Tribolium castaneum: one gene and its partners. The protein of the gene in region 1 purifies or fractionates together with the protein of each later gene. This does not show direct contact. Links are inferred from orthologs where the notes say so. Each region holds a gene or a part of one and is shown on either strand. Other genes may lie near its edges. The genes, in order: pea, crn, NKAP family protein CG6066, cyp33 and nudC domain-containing protein 1.

Region 1 (2,366 bases):
AGTAATATTGCAACGTTGCACGAACCTTGGTTCCCCCTCAACGTGCACGAAACCAGTTATTTGGAAAAATTCCCGAGGGAACAGTTGGTTTATTTAACCCCTCATTGCCGGGAAGAACTGGTGAAGTATGACCATGACGCCATCTACATTATCGGCGCAATTGTCGACAAGGTCAACACTCAGCCCTTATCCCTGGCCAAGGCCAAGCGTGAGGGGCTGAGAATGGCCAAACTGCCCCTTGACCGCTACCTCCAATGGGGCTCCGGTTCGGGCAAAAGCCTCACTTTAAATCAATGTGTGGCAATTTTGTTGGACGTTAAGCACACCGGCGACTGGGAATACGCTCTGAGGCACGTCCCCAGACGGAAAATCATCCAAATGACCGACCAAAAAGAACAGAAATCCTTCAAAAGCAGGTTCTGGAAGCCAGGCAAGAAACTGGATTTATCCAGGAAGGATAGGAGAGTAGAAGTTAGGAGTATCATGTATGATGAAAATTAAACACAGTAGATTATTAATTTTTTATTTACACCTAACTATGCCTAATTACGCCGCCTCCTAACTCGCGATATTCGCCAAGCGTTCGGTTCCTCGTATTTGTTGTAAAGTGGCTCCAAACGTTGGTTTTTCTTAAATTTGCTCAGTTTTGTCGGATCTGAGAATTTGAAGAAAGCGGGGGCGAACTCCACGAGCCATTTTGGGTCGATTGTGGTCACTTCGCGCATGTATTCCTTCGTGGTCTGCACCAGTTCGTGGTAGATCACCCTTGAAAACGCACATAGACAAAAAATTATAAAAAATAAAACCACTCGGTTTTTCGCGAAACTAAGCCGAAAGTAATGTCCTTTTAGCCTCTTCAAAAGTTTTATTAGGTTTTTACAGCCCTAAACGCGAGCTTTTATCAAAAATAACTAAAATAATTTCAAAAAAGGTGTTATTTAATTGTTTCAGTAATGAAACTGTCAAAAATGAATTTCTTTTTGCTTTTTTCAAGCAGTTGCATACTTTTTTCAAGAAGAAACTTAATTATCTCCATTATTTTTGAGAAAAACAACCCCAAATAAATAATCTCTTTAAAGCTTACCACTCTGGTTGTCTGTTGAAGAGGGCGCTCGAGGGGTGTATATAAACCACTTGGCTATCCACCAGCGTCCTGTACCCCTCCTGTGGATCCTTTTTCGCTGCATTCCTGAAAAATCCCGAACACACACACTTCTGCACCCTCACTGTATTTCTTTCAGCCGATACGACATCCAACTTGTGCCTATCCATAATCCCTAACAATTGTTTACGAACATCTTGTGCCCGTTTTAACGTCCTTATTTGTACGAAATTTTCGTAACACCACGCATTCGAAAATTTATTATTTTTCCAACTGTTATAAACGGCCAAAAGTGTCAAGTGGTCGCCTTCTGGTTGGTTAAATTTGGCCTTTTTCTGATCGGCGATCGCTTGCTTGTCCTTGGGACGATAAAAGACATTTTGAACCGACAACATGCTCACAATTGTCAAAATCTCGTCGGAACATTGAAGGGCCACGGACATAATCAGCATTTTTGATAGGTTGGGTTCCAGAGGAAACTCAGCCATCTGTTGAAATTTTGTTATGAATTAAAAATTGACGTATTGACTGGCTAGCGAGGGGGCAGTGTACTGAATATGCAATTTATTTCTAAAAATATAAATAAGAATCCAAAAAAAGTGACACAAAGAAATACACAATTTGCGAATAATAATCTAGAAGGTCATATGAACTTATCTTATAAATTTAAGTGAAAGTGATTGAGGTACAATGATTATAATGTGAAAATTAAAAATAAAATTGAATCGTACAGTATTGCCCCCACGGTAGCTAGGAAAAACCAAACGTGTTTTTCCCCCAAATCACTTACCCTCCGCCCTAATCGCGTAAGAAGCCCCTCATCATCCAACGCCGACAACGAGTGCAACTGCTCTAAGGCCATAATCAGCGATTCAACAGGCGGAGCGTCCATAAAATCAAAATGTAGCAAATCATTAATCCCCATTGTTTTCAACTGTAAGACAGTCGTTGCCAAATTGGTCCTTTGTATCTCCGGAACAGGAGTGGGCAGCATCTCATCACGATACGCCCTCTCCGTGTACAACCTATAGCATTTCCCAGGCCCCGTCCGCCCGGCACGCCCCGCCCTTTGCTTGGCTTGTGCCTGCGAAATGGGCGTGACCACCAACGAGTCCATCCCAGTTTTAGAATTATAAACTTTCTGTTTGACAAAACCGGGATCGACAACGTAAAAAATCCCATCAATGGTCAACGAAGTCTCTGCTATATTTGTCGCGATGACAACTTTCCGGCTTCCGGGGGGCGCCGGTTCAAAAATCCGGGT
Region 2 (3,967 bases), on another chromosome or scaffold:
GACTCGATGAATATTTTATTCGGGCAAAGTCACATCGTACACAATGCGCAAATAGGGATCGCTATTGAGCCGCTGGCGAATATTCGGGAAATCGAATCGGCGAATAATCCCAGTAATAATGTCACGTTTGCTCAGAAAATGTTGGAGAATTTTATGAATTTTGTGCTGAGTTATACGGTGACGCAACCGCAAATGGTCCCAGATCCCACGGCCACGTACGTTCCGTTGGCTACAGTACAGAACTGGTACACGAATTTTGAACGACGGTTGCAACAAAACCCCAATTTTTGGAAAACGTAGAGGAATGTGTGCATACGTGTGTCTTGTGTTCATCAAAGCTGGATTATGGCGGCTGTTAAGTCTCAAAACTCACTCGCTTTTAATGTATTTAAATGAATAAAGTATCGATTTTTTTATTATCTTATCATTTGCCCACAAAAAATTAATTGTTGCAGTGCAAAATCGTTGACCAGATAGCGCTTGGATAAGTGACAAAAGGGGAATAAAACAAAATTTAAACCTTAATTCTATTTTCTCAAAATCACGGTTCCGGTTCTTCCGTTTGCTTCTGCTTCTTCCAGCTTTTGGCAGCTGCCAATAACTTCAAATTGGGTTTACTGGCCTCATCCTCAGGGAATATATAATCAAAGATCTCCTCCCATCCTTGCTCAACACCATCCTCATCAATAACCTTCCTTCTCTTCTTAATCCTCCTTGGCATTTTCCCTTCAACTTTCTCCTTCGTCTCCTCGCTCCCATTTGCACTTTCAAACTCCTTCCAATTCTCCAATAACAAAACCCTCGCCTCCTTCTCCCCATAACTCTTCAAACTCTCATTAGCCCGCTCATAAACACGCCTTGCCAAACTAATATTCATATCCGACTCACAACTCAACTCAAACTTCGCATACGACAACCAAACTTTCACATGACTTGTCCTCTCCAACAATCTTTCGTACAATTGTCGGGCATTAGCCCACTCTTCTTGCCCGATCTCAAAATCGATATAGGCCTTCCAGAGCAGCTCAGGCATGTCTAGCCTTGGCTGAGCGATTGCCAACTCATAAATGGCCCTAGCACGCTCAAAATCCCCCAAAAGTGTCTCCAACTCGGCAAATTTCATCCAAGTCACACAATTTTCCGGACCAAACTCTAGATATTTCCCGTACAAAATACGACACCGGTCAAACTCACGCAACTGTATCTCTATATCAATATACCCACGGAACAATTTATCACGTGGGCATTTACCAATGGCAGTCCCCAAAATTTTACGAGCACCAATCAGATTCTTCCGCCTGATTTCAAACTGTGCAAACAACAACCAAATTTTACTAAACGTGAATAACTTATGGGGGATCAAGTCAAGGCAAGCTTTATAAACCTGACGTGTTCTTTCATAATCAACCGCTTCGATTTCCTCAAACAGGGCGTAATTAATCCACAAGTAAATATAACGCCTCCAGTATTGTTTATTTTTCGTTGGTGGCACGTTGGCTATGGCCCGCTCATACGTCTCACGTGACGTCTCAAGGTCCCCTTCCCCCTCCACCAGTCTCAAATAGTCAAACCAAGCGTCGTAATTGGTCGGATTTTCGAGTATCTCTTGTTCGTATTGAAACTTACGTTTCGAAACAATCACATCTTCAATACCGGAACGATCGCCGTACTTTTTCTCATGTATGGTGTAGGCTTTGTACAGCTCTTTCGCTTGTTCTTTGGGGAGATGGTCCAAGGCATACTTGTAGATAACGCGAGCACGGTCATGTTCTTTTTGGTTTTCTTCAAACCGTGCAAATGCAATATACAATTTTTCGTCCAAATGGTCATCACCGTAAAAATGTACAGCTCGTTCGTAAATCAAGCGGGCCGAGTTGATAAAACCGTGATTTTCTTCAAATCGGGCGTATTTAATCCAGTGTTTGACTTCGGGATGTGTTATAACAAAGCGTTCGTAGATTTCTCGCGCACGGTCGATTTCTTTGTATCTTAACTCAAAATTGATGTACGTTTGCCAGGCTTGTTCCTCCGGCTGCCACTCCATCCAGCGTTCAAAGACAGCTCTGGCCCCAGCCACATTCTCCAACATCTCCTCCATGTAGGTGTATTTGTACCAAAACTGGTTGATTCTGGGCAAAATCGTGACGGCTCTGTCCCATAAATTTCTAGCATGGTTCACTTGACGGTTTCGCATCTCCATTTCAGTGTATTTTAACCAAATGGTAACGTTACGATGGTCCACATCCAAGGCACGTTCAAATATCGAACGAGCTCGTTGGATTTCCTTTTGCGATTCTTCCCAATGGGCATATTTAATCCAATTGGAGATAACAGTTCGATTTTTTCGTATGTTGTCTTCGAATTGTTTACGGCGTCTGAGTTGGTAGTCGGCAAGTTCAGCTGGATCGGAGATTTTTTGCTTAGGGGGCGGAGGGAGAATCTCAAGGTCGCGCTCTTTTGCCTCGCGAAGGAGCTGCTCGGCTGTGATTTGGATCTCAGCAGGGGCTTTATTTTTCACCTGGAAAATTATTTTAGTTAGTTATTAAGTTGAAAGAGAAGGTAAATAACGTACCTTGGCCACTTTGGGCATCTTTTGCGGCTTGGTTTCCATCTCAGGGGCGACTTTTACCAACTTGTAGCACAACAAACAAACACGAACATAACCTTACGATTTTTTGTGGTTATGTTTGGACCACACAAATTGTGAAATATCGTGCCTTAAATTTTGATCGAGTGTTTGTTTGTTGTAATATAGATTAAACAATAATTTACGTAAGTAATTAAACTCCGCAAGCCAGTTTTTGTATTATTGGATTTGTAGATTTGCACTGGTGACGCCACATGTCGCGCACAATTACAGTTTTCTGTTTTTTTTTTAAATAAAATTCGAGAAAAATTACAAAATTTTATTGCATTTAATTTTGCCACAACTTTAAGACTTTGTCTTTACCCCCCGAGGCCACTTTGGAGCCATCTGAGGCCCAATCAAGCGCATAGACCTCATCCCCATGACCTGGCAGATCAATTTCCAATTTCTTCTCCCTCAAATTCCACAATTTGAGTGTTGAATCGGCACTTCCACTCACTAAAAGTCTAGAATCGGCCGAAAACGAAATCACATAAACAGCCTGTACGTGCCCCCTTAACGTACAAATAAATTTACCACTTTTGGCCTCCCATAATTTAATACTCTTATCAAACGAAGCCGAGGCAAAAATGCGACCATCTGGTGAAAATTTCACATCGTTAACTAATTGTTGGTGCCCCGTGAGCCGATTTAACGGCTTCTTGTCTTTTGAGGGGGCCCACAAAAACAAAGTGAAATCATCGGAGCCCGAGACGAGTCTTTCATCACCGATAGGGTTAACGATTTCGTTGTAACGACGCAGGACGAAGTCTTGTGATTGGATTTGGGTGTCTTTGACTGGGTCAAACGCCCCCAATTTGAGGATATAATCAGTGTTGAGGGCCAAAGTGTTGACCCAATGACCGTGCCCTTCTAACGTACGACACAACACACCGTCTTTAGCCCTCCAAACTTTAACAGTCCGGTCCTGCGAAGCCGTATAAAGGAGCCCCAGACCGCCCCACTTGACCACAGTCACACTTTTCAAATGCCCAGAAATAACCCTAGTACAAGAACACAGGACCGTATCCCAAATCCTGACGTCACAATCTTTACTCGCCGAGGCTAGAAAGCGACACTCGGCGTTTTGGTGGTAGGGTTCCCAACTCAGGGCCGTGACCCATGATTTATGCCCAATTAGAGTTTTACCAATCTGGGCCCCATTTTCGGGGTTCCATACCACCACCTTGCCGTCTTTACACGCCGAAGCTAGTTTACGCCCATTGGGGGCCCACGCAATGCACAACACCCAGTTCGTGTGCCCTTTACATGTCTTAAAAGGTGTCTGGGTGTCCACGTCCCAGAACCGAACGGTTGTATCGCCAGAACCACTCGCTAGGT
Region 3 (3,059 bases), on another chromosome or scaffold:
TGATTTTTGATTAGCTGTTTGCAATACTAGTTTCCTTCCAAAAGTTCGAGGTTGAGTTGCTTTCTGAGTCAAGGAACGATTAAAGTGGATCAAAGAATAAAAAACAATTTTAAGAAATGGCGTTAAAAAGAAAAAGAAAAAAATATGCATTTAAATTTTTTTTATCTAAATAATATAGTAATAAAAACAATTTTTTTCGGTCGTTTTATAATTTATAATCATACCTTGCATTTTTTATACAGCGTTGGCGGAAGTATAGAACCAAGCGTTTTCAAAAATTGTTTTTTTCGAAATTTTTGTTTGTTATTGATTACGTGTATAATACACGTATTAATAAATTTTTTGAAAAATTCAAATAAGAAAAAATTTACCAATCGACCATTTTATTATATTGAGTAAGATAAAAAAATAACTAAATCAAATATAAATATAAATATAAATAAATATAAGAGATTTTTTAAATGTTTCTTTTTAAATAAAAATTGACCTGTCTCAAAAATTTTATTTTTTTTGTTTTTTTTTACTAAGATATTTAAGGTGGCTTGTTTTTAAACTAAATGTGAATTTTGTTGTTATACTTTTGGTTCAATCTGTTTACAGTCTTAAACGTGAAACTGTATAACGATTGAAATAGTGTGACTTCTCTGATAAAACTTTACTCACAGCAGACGCTTTTCTGACTGAAAACGCGATGAAACGCTCAAAAAACTAAAATTTTTGACCTAATTTTGTTTAGCAGCAGGAATTGAAGAAAAAAACAGTAGTAAATTAATACAAGTATAATAAAAATGGGTAATTTTTAATACATTTTTTCTATTTTTGTAGATTTCAACCAATTACTAAATTGCGCAAACCGCAGTGGAACCCCACATCCGCCCTAAATCCGCACACTTAATCAAAATTTCAATTTGTCGTTTTGTGGTTTCCGTTTCTTCGACTCTTGCACCTACACAACATCCAATTCCATTCATCTTAAAGCCCTACAAGTGTTAACAATGCAGGCAAAACTTTTCTTAATCCTTTCCCTTCTAACTGTTTTTGTGTACGGCCAAAGGCCTCGAACAAAATCGGGAGACTGCCCCCCGTACCCCAACGTGGGGATCTGTGAAGTGGCCTGTTTCGAAGACAACCACTGTGCCGGCCATTTCAAATGCTGCCGGACGGCTTGTGGCGGCACTTTTTGTACGGCCCCTGTAACAACGAGGCGAATTCAAAGAGGAGGTGAAATGGATACAATTTTTTTTAAAGAAAATTAATTTGTGTTTTAGAGAAACAAGGGTCTTGTCCAGTTGCACCGTCAGGCCCTTGGGTGTGCTCCAGCAGGTGTGCCCTAGACTCGGACTGCAGGGGGGCTAAAAAGTGCTGCAGGAATCGGTGCGGGGCCATGGCTTGCACCAAACCCGAATTTTAATCAGTTACAATTGTAGTATCGTTGTATGAATAAAAATTAGCAAATCGACGCATTTTGTGTTTTATTTATTTCCTTAAAATTTGAAATGGTTTGAGCAAATGTCAATTCTAGCTTATGGGAATGACGTAAAGTGACTTCAGTTTGACAGTTTTTTTTAAAGGTTATGTTATTGTAAAAAAATTGATTTTTTACGAAATGATGGATGTGGCAAAACACAGACGCAGTCGGTCCCGTTCCCCGGACCACCGGAGACACAAAACTGATAGATCGTTTAAAAATGATCGTAATAGGAGACACAGGTCCAGGTCTCATTCCAGGTCAAGAGACCGCCATTCCAGCAGACGCAGGTCTAGATCCAGAGGCACCACAACAAACGGTTTTGAACGAAACGACAAATATGAAGTCACAAAGAAAAAACACCTTGAGGACGAGTTCATGGAGTCCCGACGCCAGGAGCGTGAGATCCTCGGAATGAGGGATTACCCCAGCATTTGGGGCCAATCCCCCGAACCCGAAGACTCCGACAGTGACGTCGAAGACGTCACCAAGAACGCCCCCAAGCTAAAAAAACGGAAGAAGGAAAAGAAAAAATCCCACAAGAAGCATAAAAAGAAGAAGAAAAAGAAGAAGTCTTCAAGTGAGAGCAGTTCAGGGGAGGAAGAGTGGGTCGAGAAGACCACAACCACCAACAAACCCCAAACCAATGCGGAAGAGACCGAAGAGGTGATCGTCGGCCCCATTTTGAAGCCCCATGCCGCCCTGACTCACAAGGAAATGGGCAAGGCTTTGCTCCCTGGTGAGGGGGCTGCCATGGCTGCGTACGTCGCCGAAGGAAAACGGATACCAAGAAGAGGTGAAATTGGACTCACGTCTGAAGAAATTGAAAGTTTTGAAGCCGTGGGTTATGTCATGTCCGGCTCAAGACACAGGAGAATGGAGGCTGTGAGGATACGGAAAGAAAACCAGATTTATTCAGCTGATGAGAAGCGGGCTTTGGCCATGTTCAGCAAAGAAGAACGGCAGAAGAGGGAGAACAGGATTTTGGGACAGTTCAGGGAAATGGTCAACTCCAAACTGGCCGAAAAGAAAAATTAATTTCGTAGAATTGAGTGTTTATTACGTATAAATAAAGTTTTTTTATTACTTAATTTGTTTTACATTGTTGTACCCAACCGGTCCATCCCCCAGGGAAATGTTTGGCGCTGAAAATTGAACTTAAATTTCGGGTCAAAGTGGCCTATGATTTCGAATTAAGTTGGCAACATCTAGTTGCCAACTAAATTTAAAAATCACAGGCGACTTTAATTAAAGACGGAACAAAACGAATGTTTTACTTTACGTATCCCAGATTTTTGGCTAAATCTAGCGCAGCTCGGCTCCGCCGCCCCGACTGACAACTGAAAACTAAAGGCGTGGTGTTTGTAGGCTTTTCTCTTCGGAAAACTTGACGAAATTGTTCATCACTTGTGTTCTGCAGCGTTTCTTCTAAAGTGGCCACTTGAAATGAAGTACTTTGCAGTTAATTCATAAGTTAATTAGGGTATTTACAAGGTATATTGATGCTTCCAGGAATTGTTCCAGTTTGCGCTAATTCCGACGGGTTCCTCACATCAATTAGAAGAACCTGTCTGTTGTCTTTTAGGCTTCT
Region 4 (4,316 bases), on another chromosome or scaffold:
GGGGCCATGGGGGCAGTGCTTGCGCTTCACGTTGTACTTGTGGGGCTTTATGAGACTGAAACATGAATCGTTTGACAGATTTGACAAAATAAATTAATTGGTCGTTGACAGATTATCTCAAAATTCCACAGCATGCTTTGCTAAAAAACTGTTTTCCAATTTTCGGGGGATTAACAGCTGATTAAATAGTGTTATCACCTTGGGAATTGGGGCCCAAACTGCGTGTAGCAGCAGTTGTCCCAGCAGCCCCTCGAGAAGGGGTTGTAACCGCCCTTAAATTTCCCCGTGACTTGTTCATTGGTGGTCCTTCCTCTCGAGACCAAAACCATATGAAACCCTGTTAAGCCAAAAATTGGTATAGCTAACAAAGCCACCAAACCCATTAAGACAAAACTGGGAAAAATTAAGGTAAAATTAGCTAGAATGTTGAAAATTCGTAACAAAAAAATCGAAAAGGATACGCAATAATTGGTTCAGCGTTGGAGAAAGTATCACCATATTTGAGGATGTAAATTAGGCTTAAAGTAAATATACTGATCATGTGTAAGCTAAGTGAGATGAGAAAGAAAAAGAAAAATCGGTAATTTCTTCTCCCAATGCAATTATTGACCCATGGACAGTGGTGGTCAAAAGTCTGTAAAAAATCGGGGATTTACCAATTTTTTCAACCAATTCCACAACTCACTTCTATACAGTGGTTACAAACACTACAATGTGAACATCTCGGTGGTCTGTAGAACTTGCACGTGACGCACCATTTCATCCGCACCGTAATCCCGTTGATCTCCACGTTCTTGTACAAGGGGGCCCTGAAATCGTCCTCGCGGTCTTCATCAGGAGGGGCTAAAAACCAGCTCAATTAGCGCTACAAGGGGGTTGTTACGCACCTTTTGGTATGACCCCCGGGTCCATGAACGTAGCGAGGGTGAAATTGGCGAGGACGAAGAACGTGATCACTCCTTGGTACGCGGGCACCCATGGATAATCCTCTAAGTAGTATCGGGCTCTAACAAGCGTAACGTTTGCCTAAATTTGGTAACATAAACACTGACAGGAATAACTCACGGGTAGTAGAAGAACAACGTTGTGGCTACCAACAGTAAAGTCCAAGCAAAAGTCGCTGGTATGTATCTAGTTTTAACATCGCACTTGGGCATAATGTTTTTTTACTCAAGATCTCGCGCAAAACTCGAATTTTCGCCTCAGACAGGCCAACATGGCTGAGACAAACGGGAGAAGTTATCGTTCGTTGCCCCTGTCAAACTCATCTGACACTTGACAAAATCGGGGGAAAAGAAATTCCCCAAGTCGCACACTTTTATATCGATTTTTCACATTAATTACTTGAATTGAAACGGACGGCAGTGCTCAAGTAGTAATTAAAATGCCATTAATTTACGTTTTTACGTAAAAATCCAATGATGGTTAAACACTTGATAGTTGCGCAGGCGCGTTAAGGGTGTCAAAGGTTTCGCACAAAAGTGAGGTTGTGTCAATGTTTTTTGAAAAATGAGCACCGGTTCCAAACGCACTATTTACGTCGGGGGGCTCGCCGAAGAAGTCGACGATAAAGTCCTGAACGCGGCTTTTATCCCCTTTGGTGACATTGTCGACATTCAGATCCCTCTGGACTATGAGACGGAAAAGCACAGGGGGTTCGCTTTCATCGAGTTTGAGAGTGCGGAAGACGCGGCTGCAGCAATCGACAATATGGTAACACCAAAGTTAAATAATGGACAATTTTTAAATATCAGTTTTAGAATGATTCTGAGCTTTTTGGTAGAACCATCAGAGTCAATTTAGCCAAACCACAGCGAATTAAAGAGGGTTCGACACGGCCTGTTTGGTCTGAAGACACCTGGCTTCAGCAGCACGCAGGCGAGACAATCGGCAAGACTATTAATGATCCTGATGATGGAACTAAAGAGGCAACAGATAACGTAAAAATTTCTCTTGATTTTTTGATTTTTTTGAGCAATTTTTTCCCAGGATGCTGACAAAAGTGACAGCAAAAAAGTCAAAAACCCTCAAGTTTACTTCGACATTAAGATTGGCAAGACTGAAGTCGGTAGAATAACAATGCTGTTGAGGGCTGATGTGGTCCCCAGAACTGCAGAAAATTTTAGGTGTTTATGCACCCATGAAAAGGGTTACGGTTTTCAGGGCTCCACTTTCCATAGAATAATTCCAGACTTTGTATCCTTTTTACCCAAAGAAAAATTATATTGTCAACAAGCCCCATAACTTGTTTATCATAAGAAATATTCACTTTTTCTTTTTTTTCTGGATTATAACTGTGTTTCTGCTACAGATGTTAAAAATATTGCGGTATATTTTAAGATTTCCCAATATTAAAAAAAAAAACTAGTTATGTTTTTTTCAAATAGAACACTTTAAATTTTATTACAGTTTTGGACGTAATCGATTCTGTTTAGTTTTTGAAATAATTTGTTTTTTTCAGTTTTTCAAACTTAAATCTGTATCAACTGTTTAACGCATTGCAATTAGGAACGTAGAAAAATTAAGAAGTTTGTTAAAAGTTGGATAACCTGGAAAAGTTAAATAGAACACCCTATTTTTTGTTTTTGCTTCTTAAAGGTCATTAAATTGTCTAAAAACATAAAGTTTCAAATGCCTAAAGTTAATAACTAAAAATCTATTTTACTTTAAAAATTAATTTCAGCAGCAGTACACATTATTTATGAGCATTGTCGTTACCAGGACTAGGGGTGGGCGATATTAAGATTTAAATATCAATAATCGATACATACCGATATATCGATACACCGATACATATCGAAGATTGGCGAAATATCGATATATTATATTGAAGTATCGATATTTACGATAGAGCGATAAAAACATGGGTATTTATAGATAAATGATAGTACCTAATAAATGTTACTGTTAAATTTAAAAAAGTTGAAATGGTGAAATACTTGTTTTTTTTGTTAAATTTATGTTTAAATTATACAGAAATCATAAAGTTTTGTACTAATGCTAATATTTTTGCAAAAAATGTTCTAACCCGTCGATTTTAAATCGCCGTCTTTTTTGGGTAGGCAATCCTCAACTGTTTTTGGTTTTGATTACATTTTTCAGTTCTCTATTTAACAATTGTACAAAAAATTAAATCTTGTACGATAATTTTTTTTGAGAAGATCTAATTTTTTACGTTTAACTAAAGTTAAACGATAATAACGAAATTTGTCGGAATATTGATAATAAATTATCGATAGTTATCGGCATGTGGTGTATCGACAGTTTTAGATAATTATCGATATGTCTATATATATTGATATATCGATCTTTTTATCGATATATCGGTAAAAATTCCTAGCCCTAACCCTGACTACCTCAATATTTTCAAAATATGCAGCAGAAACGCAGCTGTAAGCTAAAAAAGGAAAAATCAATATGTCTAATAATAAAAAAATTTTGGAGCCTTTTCGGCTCGCTGGGACCTGTTTATTAAAGAGGGCTACGGCTGTGAAATTAAGTTGCCAACATTACTTGCTAAATTCCTTAATGACGGTTAGATGTGTCAAGGTGGCGATTTTACCAACCACAATGGTACAGGAGGAAAATCAATTTATGGTCGGAAATTTGTTGATGAAAATTTTGAATTGAAACACGTGGGTCCAGGGACTTTATCAATGGCCAATTCGGGACCAAATACCAATGGGTCGCAATTTTTTATTTGCACGGCAAAAACGGATTGGTTGGATGGAAAACACGTGGTTTTTGGGCATGTTATAAGTGGGATGGACGTTGTGAGAAGGATGGAAAGGTGTGGGACCAAGAGTGGGACGCCCACGGAGAAAGTAGTAATAGCAGCGTGTGGAGAAATACAATAAAAAATATTTAAGAATTTTTGATTTTATGTAATGAAAATAATAAAGAACTTACTAAACGTAAATTGTATTTTTATTTACCCAGGAATGTTTTAGGCACTAGTTTTTCGTATTTTAAAAGAGCACAAAAAAAGATTTAAATACTTTAAATAAAATAACAAGAAAATATTTAAATTACCTTTTTAATGTTTGCTACATTACCGACAGCCATATTGCCAAATTAAACTTGTGCAAAAGAATTTGTCTTTATTTATTTACTTTGCCACAAAGATTACATGAAAAGAATAAATGAAACACCTCGCTTTATTCACAAAATAGGTTACAAAAATTGGTATTATTGTGCAAGTTATAAACCTGACGATAAATTATTGAGTTGGCAACTTTGGGTTCTTCAAGTTTGAGGATTGAGGTTACGTTTATCATTGATAGGTTATGTTTGACCGCAGCATGTTTTTATTTTGT
Region 5 (4,158 bases), on another chromosome or scaffold:
AAAATAATTCGGTAAAATGCGACGTTGGCGTTTTTATAGATTTGATACAGCTAGTACTTTTCTCAAACATTTGAATTAAAAGCTTTTGTATGAGAGTGAAAAAACTTATACAAACTGCGAAGAGCACATTAAATGTAGATTTGTCGATTATCGAAGATGTAACGTAATAAGTTTATTTTTTCGACAGCAGAATTAACAAAAAAACAAACTTCATTGCTATTGAACAACTTTACCCATTAAGAAACTTCACTTTGCGGTTAAAAAACTAAATGAATAATTATTTTCAGTAGAATAAAGCACACAGACATCTGCTATAGAAAAAAATACATTATGAGCTAGGATTATGAGTTATTATTGTTACCAACGCACCCCATTCGACTCAAACGACATAGAAAAAAACACTCACCATCTAGAAACAACCACCATCACATTGGTTACATTCAAAATTTGTAATAAATGTAAAACACGCCCTCCGGCGTGCGTTTCACCATCGTCATCGCAGTCTTGGAGAATGGTTCCCTGAGAAGTCAAAATTCTATAAGCTGAGATGTTATGAGTTGCTTGAGCAATTTTTTTATTATCAAGTAAAAAATTCATAAATTCTCTATAACAAAAAATTAAATAGAATATCATTCAGTAATTTGGACATGTAAAATACCTTGTCTCTTCTAATGAGTGAACCCGAGCCATGTGACCCTGAAAAACACTTTTTCTGTCTTGTATAATATCCCCATGTATCACTTGTAAAAAAGTTTCCTTCCTGACTTGTTTCTCTTCAACTTCGCCATTTAAAACTTCTGGCTGTGGAGCACTTAAAACTTCTGAACACTCGTCCACAATTTCCTTTAACTTTTCAATCCACTGAAACAGAATAGGGCTTCCCTGGCTACTTCTAAGAAATCATAGTTCAAAAATAATTGTAAGAAGCATAAACACTTCTTGTTCATACTCGTAAATGTTACCAAATTCATCGGAAATTAGCTGCTTCTGCTCTGACGTTAATGTAGGAGCCAATAACTCAAAACTTGGGGGCTTGCTTGACGGATAATCATCATTCAAAGTTATGAATAATTTAACGTTGGGATTAATTTGAATGCTATAACAATTCGTGTCCGTCTCCAGCCGCCAGTTATCATCGTAAATAGATTTCAAAGCTTCAAGTTCCTCACACTGTTCCGCTAAATTATCCATTTTTTTGGAAAACACATTTTAGTTTTGAGGTTATGTTTACACATTTCTGTCATACGTCAGTCATACTTTGACAGTGCGAATTGAGGTTATGATTTTTATTCCAACAATTGTCTTGTAATAATAAATTCAGTGCCACACAGTATTTAATTACACAAGATGCAGTCTCACCCGAAATTAATGGAATTGCGTCCTGATCGATCATTACTGAACTCTGATTTTGACGGTTATAAGTTGTCTTTGGCCGAGATCCCCACAATTAGCGAGCAGTTAAAAGTACCAGTGGACAGATTAGTGCCTGATGTAAATCAGTATTCGTTGCTCCATGCAAAACTCTTTGCTCTTCACAATCATTTGATTAGCGAAAATGATAATGAATCAGTTTATTTTGTTGATAAAGAGTTGAACGTTCAAAAATTTAGCATTGAATCATTGACACACACATTCTGTAAAACAACCGTGTGGACGCTACCTTTACAGAGAGAAAGGAGCTTTGGGGATTACAATATTTCCCTGAAATTTGCCTCAAGTCAGATTGCCGTTGTAGCAGATGGAATGGGCTATCTTTACGTATTAGACAGGGGCTGCAGAGACATTGACGATAAATGGAAGATACTCTTTTCTGGGGACGTGACAGGTCCTGATCAGAAGTTTGTTGTAACTGATGTGGTTTTTAAAGAGGCCCCAAAACCACATTTGCATTTATTACTAACCAGTATAAGACAGAGGGAAGCGAATGAGAGAAATTCAACAATTTTGCACTGGATAACTTTGGAAAAAAGCGATTCGTGGAACCAAGTGGCTTTGAGGGAACTAACAGTTAAAGGCTTCGTCCAGTACGCAAATTTCGAACGCACTTGTGACGCAGTTTACGTAATCAGCGATGATGGTTGCAAATTCACCCTGGATTCGGAAAATGAAATCAAAAAAGCCGAAGAAATTCAAGTTGAAAAGAAATACAAGTGGAGCCAAACCAGTGAAGATTTGACCATTAAATTTCCACTTCCTGAAAATTTTAAGAAAAATTTAGTCCACGTAACCACCGAACCAACCCACATCTCGGTCAAATACGAAAATGAGACTCTCCTAACCGGCAAATTGTATCACCAAATAGACCCTGATGTGACCTGTTGGACCATTGAGTCAAGCACTCTCGTCCTAACTTTACAAAAGTGTGAATCCGGCCTTATGTGGCCAGAAATCGTCGAAGGTGGCTACGTTTTTGGCGAATATTTGCCAGATCCGGCTTTAGTTAGCGAAATTGCGGCGAGATTGGCCCCACTTACGAGCGATACCGAGATGGGGCCGCCCACAGGGACCACTTTCAACAGCCAACAAGTGGAAGAGTGTGACTTTGAGTGCGATAAATTGACTGTGTTTGAACGAATTTCGCGCGATTCGCATGAGGTCACCCATAAAATCAACTTGGGGTCACATCAAGTCCTGCTAAGTGTTGGGTTGGAAGAGAACCAGCCGTTGGCTGTAGGGATCCGAAGTGATGTTGATACGTGTATCTGGCAGCCGACTAATGAAAATGAGTTTCGATTGGTTCATAAGGGTACTTTGCTAGCGCTGGGTTATATTCAGGTGAGTTAAGATATATGGAGGACTAAAACTAAGTGGCGAAACGAATTTGAAAATCACCCAATTTAACCGACTCGGCTCCAAATTGATTAAGTTAATTTAAATTTATGACTTGCTCAAAAATACTTGTTTAAAAAAATTGCAGGAATGTTGGCTTTTAGTTTTTAATCAGCTGTACAAAACTCACGGCTATTATTTTCAAAAGTAATTTTTTTTATCGAGCATTTCACAAAATTTACATATTTAATGTAAAATTGTAAAGCGTGGTAAATACAAACAAACTCTACAATTTAACAAATACAGATTTACTAATCGATATTCCTAATTACAAAAAATGTTTTTTTAAGGTAGCTAAACGTCGTCAGATTTAAATTGGCAAAACCAGCATATTTTCATTAAATACGTTAACTTAATAATTTAGTAGTGCATTGATGACCTTTTGTTTTTCTCAATCACTTTAAGCTTAAAAGTATCTTCAAAATCAAACTAGAGCAAGAAATCAAGAAATGTTTTTATTAATTTTAGTAAAATATATGAGGCATTTGAGAACACTTTTGAAAAGTAAATTCTTTTAATAAATAGATGTATTTTATTTAATTTTTAGTGTTTCGACTGATACGTGTATAAGTTTTTTAAGGCAAATTTTTACTAAACAACAGGGAAGTTTTATAAGGTGTTAAATAAATTGGTACTTGACCAAATCGCACATAAGAATTAAATACATTTTAATAACATATAGTATAAAAAAAATCACACATAATACGTATACGTGTATAAGTAACTTAACTAAGTTACTAATTAGTAATTTAAAATGTTGTGAAGTAAATATGGTCTCTTAAATTGTCTATAAAGCTCTGCTTTAATTCTAAAGAGAAAATTATAATACAATTTAATTTTTTGAGATATCATAAACTTCTAACGAAAAGCACAATTGATCGAACAGTGATTTTAGAATATGGATTGTAATTTAGTTTTTTATTTTAACCTTTTCATGAACGTTATTCACTTTCGGTCTTTCTTTTATACAGAGTCAGTTTAAAGTAACACATAAAATTCGTAATTCTTTTAATTTTAAAAAATAAGACAATGCAAAAACAGGTAAGTTAGCATTTTAATTGAGCTTAAATTTGACCTGACTGCATCAGTCATGGCGGACAATATGGCGGCACCATGACGTCATCACAGAATTTTTAAATGGAACGGTATAATTTTTCTTATAAAATCAGAAGCTCTACTAATAAGTCTTTACAATATGGATGAACCAAACACGTAATTTTTTTTGACATCATCATTATAAAGTGACGTATAAAATTCATATTTCTTTTATTGTTCAAAAATGAAAAAAATGCAGAAACGGGTAACTTAGCATTTTAATTGAGCATAACT

Evidence for each region.
Region 2: the proteins of pea (region 1) and crn purify together in Homo sapiens (affinity purification with mass spectrometry; 3 studies listed by BioGRID and IntAct, counting the BioPlex papers as one, with this or other methods). This does not show direct contact. The link is inferred for Tribolium castaneum from reciprocal best matches to the Homo sapiens genes DHX8 and CRNKL1.
Region 3: the proteins of pea (region 1) and NKAP family protein CG6066 purify together in Homo sapiens (co-immunoprecipitation; 3 studies listed by BioGRID and IntAct, with this or other methods). This does not show direct contact. The link is inferred for Tribolium castaneum from reciprocal best matches to the Homo sapiens genes DHX8 and NKAP.
Region 4: the proteins of pea (region 1) and cyp33 purify together in Homo sapiens (affinity purification with mass spectrometry; 3 studies listed by BioGRID and IntAct, counting the BioPlex papers as one, with this or other methods). This does not show direct contact. The link is inferred for Tribolium castaneum from reciprocal best matches to the Homo sapiens genes DHX8 and PPIE.
Region 5: the proteins of pea (region 1) and nudC domain-containing protein 1 purify together in Homo sapiens (affinity purification with mass spectrometry; 3 studies listed by BioGRID and IntAct, counting the BioPlex papers as one, with this or other methods). This does not show direct contact. The link is inferred for Tribolium castaneum from reciprocal best matches to the Homo sapiens genes DHX8 and NUDCD1.

Annotation. Positions count from the first base shown.
Region 1 is NC_087395.1:23,611,237-23,613,602, forward strand, and holds the end of pea (ATP-dependent RNA helicase DHX8), read right to left. Parts: coding exon 1,893-2,366; intron 1,591-1,892; coding exon 1,085-1,590; intron 766-1,084; coding exon 543-765; 3' UTR 510-542; downstream 1-509. Other genes in the region: rswl (mitochondrial ribonuclease P protein 1 homolog), read left to right, coding at 1-501.
Region 2 is NC_087400.1:96,379-100,345, forward strand, and holds crn (protein crooked neck), read right to left. Parts: upstream 2,710-3,967; 5' UTR 2,612-2,709; coding exon 2,573-2,611; intron 2,519-2,572; coding exon 542-2,518; 3' UTR 514-541; downstream 1-513. Other genes in the region: protein OPI10 homolog, read left to right, coding at 1-300; Nle (notchless), read right to left, coding at 2,916-3,967. UniProt on the Homo sapiens protein: Involved in pre-mRNA splicing process. As a component of the minor spliceosome, involved in the splicing of U12-type introns in pre-mRNAs.
Region 3 is NC_087400.1:4,954,146-4,957,204, reverse strand, and holds NKAP family protein CG6066, read left to right. Parts: upstream 1-1,514; 5' UTR 1,515-1,606; coding exon 1,607-2,506; 3' UTR 2,507-2,559; downstream 2,560-3,059. Other genes in the region: waprin-Rha1, read left to right, coding at 996-1,221, 1,269-1,411. UniProt on the Homo sapiens protein: Acts as a transcriptional repressor. Plays a role as a transcriptional corepressor of the Notch-mediated signaling required for T-cell development. Also involved in the TNF and IL-1 induced NF-kappa-B activation.
Region 4 is NC_087394.1:24,073,913-24,078,228, reverse strand, and holds cyp33 (peptidyl-prolyl cis-trans isomerase E), read left to right. Parts: upstream 1-1,509; coding exon 1,510-1,713; intron 1,714-1,760; coding exon 1,761-1,940; intron 1,941-1,989; coding exon 1,990-2,196; intron 2,197-3,539; coding exon 3,540-3,857; 3' UTR 3,858-3,919; downstream 3,920-4,316. Other genes in the region: palmitoyltransferase ZDHHC8, read right to left, coding at 1-55, 199-393, 462-634, 686-843, 888-1,006, 1,066-1,157. UniProt on the Homo sapiens protein: Involved in pre-mRNA splicing as component of the spliceosome. Combines RNA-binding and PPIase activities.
Region 5 is NC_087394.1:22,049,157-22,053,314, forward strand, and holds the start of nudC domain-containing protein 1, read left to right. Parts: upstream 1-1,347; coding exon 1,348-2,775; intron 2,776-4,158. Other genes in the region: protein IMPACT-B, read right to left, coding at 407-604, 659-892, 950-1,191.